Cricetulus griseus: one gene and its partner. The protein of the gene in region 2 purifies or fractionates together with the protein of the main gene of each other region. This does not show direct contact. Links are inferred from orthologs where the notes say so. Each region holds a gene or a part of one and is shown on either strand. Other genes may lie near its edges.

Region 1 (3,500 bases), on a different chromosome or scaffold from region 2:
TGTGAGTAACATTCTTGGGAAGTAGCTCCTGTAAAAACCATAAGTGGCATGAACACAGTTTTTAAGCATTTAAATAACTACATTTTATCAATAAATGGAAACTAGAATTAAGTTTGTGTTTTTCTTACCACATACACGGTGCGTTCCTCCTCATCCTTTGGTCTCTCTCCCAAGGGCTTTTTTCTCCGGATTCTGGTCCCTTCTAAGTCCAACTTTTAAAAAAGATAATTGAGTTTTTAAAGTAACAGTTTTGTGTGATAATTTGATTAACTTGTAGTGAAAAAAATTACCTCTACTACAGATGAGCTTTTCAATGCTCTGGCTATTAGCTTCCCATCTGTGGTCAATTTCTTCATTTTGTTGAAAGACACCAGAAGAGAGATGTCCACATCTAGTTGCAAAATGTGGTAGATACTGTTAGCTTTAAAAATTGTGTGTGTGTGTGTTGCTGAGCTTATGATTTTAAGAATCATAATAAAAACAGGCACTGGCCCCATAAACTTGGATGCTTTGGTATTATTGCCTGATAAGGCCTGAGAGTTACTTTAGAGGGAGCAAACTTACATCCATCTCTAGATTTTTCGATTTGCTCTCGAAGAAACCTGTCCTTGTGAAGGTTTGCATCCCCGAACCAGAAGTCCACTTGCTTGGCAATGTCTGCAAGCACCTGTTTAACCCTGGAGCGTTTTTTTTTTTCTTCTTTTCTCTTCTCAGTGCTTTCCTGCATAGTTTTTTGATTTTCAGTTTCCATTCTGTAAAGTAATATAGGAGTTAATATCACCTATTTTTCTGGACAAGAGGGCCTGAGGCCTTAGTTAAGTGTGTGTTTTGCAAGATGCTTCACATGCATTGAGGCACCTGTCTCCTTCCTGAGCCTACTTCCAGCCTTAAAGCAAAAACCAATGTCGGGTGTGTGTGGCTTGGTGGTCCTCTCAGCAGACCATGGTTCAATTCCCAGCACCCACCTGTCTTAAGTTCCAAGGGATTTGATACCTTCGTGGAGGCTAGCAAGTTCATAAGTTGATTCAGGCAGGCCAGCCTGAATACACTCAGCATCCACGTGCAATGGACCTCTTTAAAAGATCCCACCCACTTACGGGGTAAGGGAGGGCAGATAGGACTTTTCCTGTCTCCCTTTTCTCTTCCAGTCCTCTCGGTCTCTTTCCCTTTCTGTTTCTCTTTACATTATTTCCTTACCTCTTTTCTGTTTCCTTCCCCTCCCCCTCTGCTTTCTAATAAAGCTTACTTAAGCTCTGTCTGCCTGGCATGTTTGTCCCCTGCCTCAGTCACCCTCTCCTGCTATGGTTCCCCATGCTTTATCATAACAAAGCTCTTCATGCATCTCACCTAAATCTTAATAAAATATGCATTTTACCAGTCAACTTTTGGCATTTTCAAAGTATAAGCTGGCCAGCCAAGTACCAGTTTTGAAAGCATACAAGTAATAAGGCATCTGCTTGAATGCTGAAGACACAGAATGCAGCTAGCTGCACATCAAAACTAATAACTGGTAAAACAGTGAGGTAAATAATATATAAGCAGAGGCCTCAGATTTCACACCTGCCATTCTAGTGGAACTTTACTATTAGAGCTAATGTCTGCCCAACCCCAGTGCTTCCCTGACATCCCAGTAGCTCTTACATTCAGAAATGCTTTCCTTGTAAATAGTTTCTTCATACGGTTTTAAGAGTTTCCCTTTTCTGATTCCTTCTACTGTGTTTTACCCTCATATAGTGTCTATGACTAGACTCATATCTTGGCCTCTGTTGTTGACTCATTCTTTCTGGGGGTCCTGGCTAATGAGTATTGGGCTATACACCTCACAAAACACAGTTATTAGTTCCCCATTCCAATAGTCAATTGTTCAAACTCCATTTGTTCATTTAGAAGAGTTAACATAATAAAAGAATACTAAAATTTTACCAGATTTTTACCACTTTGACAAATACCAACTACAAAACAAAAAGACCAGAAAGTATTCTCAATTCTTCCTACTGTACACTATCAGTTGTACTAGCACTGCCTTTAAAATACAGCCTGAACATTAACACTTCTCATTCTAAATAAACCACTTGGTCCAAGTTATTATTATGTTTCATTTGAACTATCCAAGATCTTCCTTAATAGTCTAATTGCTTCTATTACTGCTTTCTCTCTCTTTTTTTTAAAAGATTTATTTATTTATTATATATACAGTGTTCTGCCTGTATATATGACTGCACATCAGGAGAGGGCACCAGATCTCATTACAGATGGTTGTGAGCCACCATGTGGTTGCTGGAAATTGAACTCTGGAAGAGCAAGTAGTACTTTTAACCGCTGAGCCATCTCTCAAGTCACCCTACTACTGCTTTCTTATAATCAATTTTTGTACAGGATAATTACTTAAATATGTAAATCAGAACAATTCTTTGTACAAACATTCCCAAAGACTTAGCACATTCAGCACAGAGCCCAAAGACCTTACAGTGGTTTACTAGATCCTATTTAATCTGACCTGGACATACTTCTCCAATGGTTCCTTCTACAACTTTTCAGCAGGCTTATAACATGTTATCCCTAAGTTCCTAAAATATGTTAAAGCCATTTCCATCTCCAGACCTTTGTTCTTTCTGTTGTTGTTGTTTTGTTTTTTTTTTTCAATACACCTATATAGTATAATATTCACCCAGGTCTATGAATGCCACTGTTTCAGAGGCTTTTTTTTTTTTTTTTCATCCAACCTAAAATAGTCCCCTTGATGACAAGCTGTACTATATTTCCAACATTTCTTTCTATGCTCATCACCCTCTGGAATCAACAGCTTTCTTATCTATCTACTCCACTATAATCTAACTATATAGAGGCAGAAGCTTCAACTTGGTTACTACATATTTGTGAAGTAGTTAGATTTATTTAAAAGTACCTGGAGATAGGCATGGTGGTATACACCTAAATCCCAGCCAACATTCATGAGGTACTGGCAAGTGTACCTCTAAATTTGAAGTCAGCCTGGTCTATATAATGAAAATAAGGTATTAAGCATTTCAAATCCTTTTCTAAGGTGGTAAAAATATAGAATACAATGATCACATAGCAGACTCTACTGTTAAGTGTTAATTATAAAGGTCAGACTTCAAACTCTACAGTTCTTTCCCATTAAAGCCCACCATCTAAAGCAGTGATTCTTAACCTGTGGATCAAGACCCCTTCTGGGTCACATATCAGATACTTACATTACAATTCATAAGAGTAGCAAAATTACAGTTAAGAAGTAGCAACAGAATAATTTTATGGTTGGGGGTCACTACAACATGAACTGTATGGAAGGTTCACATCGTTAGGAAGGTTGAGAACCACTAGTGGAATTTATAGCCACACTACTTTATAGCCACCAGTTCTAAAGCAAAGCAGACAGAACAGTAAAAACACAAGAATGTCACAGCTACCAGTCCACTCTCTTAGCCCAGAGGCCCTCCTTTGTGTTTCTCTTAAGATTCCAGTTCAGAGTGATCAAATAC
Region 2 (4,354 bases):
AGAAAACATCAGAAATGGAGAACCGTGTCTTGAATCACACCCTGTCATTCTACCCTGCCCTCTCCGCTTCACTGTTCCATTAAGGGCCATGATTCTCAGTCCTATTTCTTGACTCACCCATAAGCTAGTAAGCCAGCTCCAGTGGAACTGAGCTGTCCCTGTCTTTTCCCCTATTGCTGCTGCTACTTTTTTTAAAAAATGGGATCTTAGTTAGGGTTTCTATTGCTGTGAAGAGACACCAGGATCACAGCAATTCTTATGAAAGGAAACATTTAATTGGGGTGGCTTACAGGTTCAGAAGTTTAGTCCATTATCATCATGGCAGGATATGGAAGCATGCAGGCAGACATGGTGTTGAAGGAGCTGAGAGTTCTACACCCTGATCCACAGGCAACAGAAAGTGAACTGTTACTGGGTGTAGCTTGAGCAAAGGAGACCTCAAAGCCTACCCCCACAGTGACACACGACCTCCAACAAGGCCACATATACTCCAACAAAGCCACATCTCCTGATAGTATCACTCCCTATGAGCTGATGGGGACAAACTACATTCAAACTACCAGTGTCACTATGTAGACCAGGCTGGCCCCAATCTATCTGCTTCTGCCTCCCTATGACTGGGATTATAGGTGTGACACCATGCCCAGTTGCTACTTCTTTATCTCCTCACTTGGCTCCTCATCTTTGCAACTCTTAACAAAGCCAGTCCTCATCTTTCTTTCTCTACTTTCATTCTTGGTGACGTCTTTCAGTCTCCTGGCTTCTAGTATCATCTGTATATAGCTGATTCCAACATCCTAGTCTCCAACTTCCTGCCCTTAACAACCAAACAGGTGACTTTCGTTAAGGCTTTTCCTTAACTGTCTTCTTTGAATACTATCTACACTATCCTCATTATTCCACAAGTACTTCTTAACTCCTCACTCAGTTTCCATTTGCCCTGTGGTTTCCATTATCTTTAATACCATGTATCTGTCATCCACCACAATTACAATTCATGAGCATTAGTACTTTTCTACATTCCATTTATGGTTCTATCACCATGACCTAGAATGATGTGTTTTATGTAGCAGGAACTCATTAAAAATTGCTTTAAATGAATGAGTATTCCCATAATGAGCAAAAAGCCAGAAACTTAAAGACTGACTCACTTGCAAGATCGTACACACACACTCTTATCAGGTCGGAGAAATGGCTTAGTTGTTAAGAGCGCTGGCTGCTCTTCCAGAGGACCTACATGATGGTTAACAAACATGGTTAACACCTGTTTCATGGGAGCCAATGCTCTCTTCTGGCCTCCAAGGGCAAGGCACACATGTGGTGCAGAGACATAGATGCAGGCAAAAGAAATCATACATATAAAATAAATTAAAACAAAGTGTTTCAATACACTGAAAAAACTGCAGGCAAAAATCAAAAGATAAACTGAGAGAAAAATACAGAAACCTAAAATCTTGAAAAAGACCTAAAGCCAAAGTAAAAAGCAGCACATGAATAGATACCTTACTTCCATGCCATACTTCAACTATCTTTTGGCAAATCCAAGTGTCTTTTACATATTTCAGCCAAATTCTAGTAAACAAGTATTTTGCCTAATATATTCTCAAACTATTAGCTATTTTTAAAAACTTGCTCAGTTCTCATACAAGTTAAAATTATCAATTCATTTCTGTTGTTCTTAAATGTTATCACCTGCAAGCAATCTGTCCATTTCTTTACAGTGTGTCTATAGGACCTAATTTTCCTGATTAATTGTGCTTTAGAAGCTGGGTGATGAAATCCTACGTACTGAAGTCACACTACTGGAGCACCTTAATCTTAGATCTGCCACCCCCACTATACAATCTCAGCAGGTGACTTAGGCTCTCTATGCTTCAATATTCTCATCTGTGGGGGCTATATTTCACATGAAGCACACAGTAAAGCCCTTGATGTAGCCCAATTAGAGTAATAGTTCCCACTAAGGTAGAGACAGAGAAGTGAACACATACTCCCTTTCCCCTTGAGATAGGGTTTCACTATGTAGCAGCCCAGGCTGGCTTGCAACTGGCTATGTAGACCAGACTGGTCTCAGATTCAAAGGTCTGCCTGCCTTGGCCCCTCAAGTGCTGGGATTGAAGGTGTGGCCGACCCAGCACTGGAAATGTATCTGTATTGAGGATGGGGAAAAAAACTCGTGAAGGATGTGTGTCAAGTTTCCACTGAGGCAAGATAGGAACATACAAGACAAGGGTTTAGGAGAGAAGATGGAGTGTGGGGACGCGCTTTCAACTCGAAAGACTGAAAAGTGAATGGGTACCTGTACAGAAAGTCTGCACTCTGCGCTAGGTACGACATTAACAACATGCTTTTCCAATTTAACGGAAATACTAAGCCGAAATGGTGCTTGCTGCTTTATTCTGGGATTTTTGGTTCGGGATCACTGGCAGGGCAGTGTTTCTGTATCCTTCAAACTCTCAAGAACCAGGAGTCCGGGCAAAGCCGCCTCTGAGCTGAGACAGTGACAGGAAACAGGTTAAGCGCACGTGCAAGGGGAGCAGCCGGCCCCTGGGGGCAGATTCGCAGAGGCCGGAGCCTCCTCCCGCTGCCCGGCCACTGTCCTCGCCCCGGTCCCCCTCCGACTTCCATCCCACTTCCCCTCGCGACCGCTCCGCTCCGGCCTCCGCCCACGCGCTAGCCCAGGCTCGCGGCTTCCCGAAGGAGCGAGGGGGCGGAGCCCGGGCGGTGCCCTGCAAAGGACGAAAACATGTGGATCACCTTTTCTCAGAGTCGGCGACACGTTTTTTACCGAGGGCCGGATTGGGGGGTTTTGAGAAAAGATTTTCAAAATCCATAACTCAGACGGGGACCGTCTCCCTCCACGCCGAGCAGCTACTGAGCAACCACCAGAGCCGAAGGAGAACCTAGAGTCGCGCCAAGGGCCGCAGGCTCCGCCCCACGCACGCGCCACTTGGGCGCGACTCCGCGCAATCCCCGGGCACCGGCTCGCGCCCGTACGACGCACGCACGGCCCTCACTAGGGCGCCTTCAGTGCCTGCGTTGCGCATGCGCGGCTTCTTTCTCTGCCGGCCTTGCGGGTTTGCATACCTATTAGTACAGCAATCTAGTAGCATTTATATATACATATATATAAATTCTTTTTTAAGAAGATTATTGTTTTTAGGTGTACGAGTGTGTTTGCGTGTGTGTACATGAGTGTAGGTGCCCGCAGAGGTCAGTGATCGCGGAGGCCAGTGATTGTGGAGTTATTGTGACTCACCTGACTTGAGTGCTGGGAATTCACGTAAGTGCAGGTCCTCCTCAAGAGCAGTTAAGTTCTCTTTAACTGCGTGGCCATCTATCTCTCCAGCCCTTTTTACAGTTTTCTTTCAATTTTGTGGAAACCCACTGACTGCAATCACACCGTTTCTCGTACTTTTCAAACACACATTTGACAAGTGAATAAACAAAATTAAATACACACAAAGAAACTTAGCCGGCCTCTACAATAGAAGAGTAAACACAAATATATTTAAAGCAGGCAAGTTCATTAGAAAGTACTAAGTGTAATGGCTATTCGGAAGAGGGGAACCACAAGCTGGTTGGGAAAGCTCGGAAGGGGTGAACTCAGCCTTGAGATAATTTCCAGAGGAAGGGATGAAATTGGAGTTAAATGTATGTTCCAAGGAGAACTGTAAAGACAGGAAAATAGACTGTGTTTGGAAAACAGAGAGTCGCTTAATGGATGTAAATAGAAAGAAAAATTCAAACTATGTTCTGGGCCACGACAGAAAAACCTGACTCTGCTGTAACTGAAGGGATTATTTGATTCCTAGCATGAACCATGGTCCACTCCACAAATGAAGAGAATGATTTTAGGTCCGACCTCTTCCAGAGGACAATTCTACCTCCCCAGTAATATGGACAGTCACCTTTTTTGTATGTCAATGGTTATTAAAAATTATGAGAGAAAATTAAGGAGGTAAAAACTAATAATATCCCTCTTTAGAGGAAAATACTAGCTCATACAATCATTTTCACACACACACACACACACACACACACACACACACACACAAAATATTCCAGAATTTGGGCTGGTAAGAAGGCTCAATGGATAAAGGCACTTGCTGCCAAGCATGCCTGATGGCCTGTGTTTGATCTCTGGAACCCACAAGACTGAAAGAAAACCAACTCCCAAAAAGTTGTCATCTGACCACCACACTTGCCATAAATAAAATAAATGTGATTTTTAAGAAATGAAATGCCAGGCCGGGCGTTGGTGGCGCACACCTTTAATCCCAGCACTCGGAAGGCAGAGGCAGTCGGATCTCTGAGTTTGAGGCCAGCCTGGTCTCCAGAGCGAGTGACAAGA

Evidence for each region.
Region 1: the proteins of Zc3h8 (region 2) and Larp7 purify together in Homo sapiens (affinity purification with mass spectrometry; 4 studies listed by BioGRID and IntAct, counting the BioPlex papers as one, with this or other methods). This does not show direct contact. The link is inferred for Cricetulus griseus from reciprocal best matches to the Homo sapiens genes ZC3H8 and LARP7.

The regions. Positions count from the first base shown.
Region 1 is NW_023276806.1:31,273,890-31,277,389, reverse strand, and holds part of Larp7 (la-related protein 7), read right to left. Parts: intron 753-3,500; 5' UTR 752-752; coding exon 565-751; intron 392-564; coding exon 291-391; intron 213-290; coding exon 129-212; intron 29-128; coding exon 1-28. UniProt on the Homo sapiens protein: RNA-binding protein that specifically binds distinct small nuclear RNA (snRNAs) and regulates their processing and function.
Region 2 is NC_048599.1:49,598,681-49,603,034, reverse strand, and holds the start of Zc3h8 (zinc finger CCCH domain-containing protein 8), read right to left. Parts: upstream 2,952-4,354; 5' UTR 2,835-2,951; coding exon 2,758-2,834; intron 2,493-2,757; exon of another isoform or gene 2,347-2,492; coding exon of another isoform or gene 2,300-2,346; intron 1-2,299.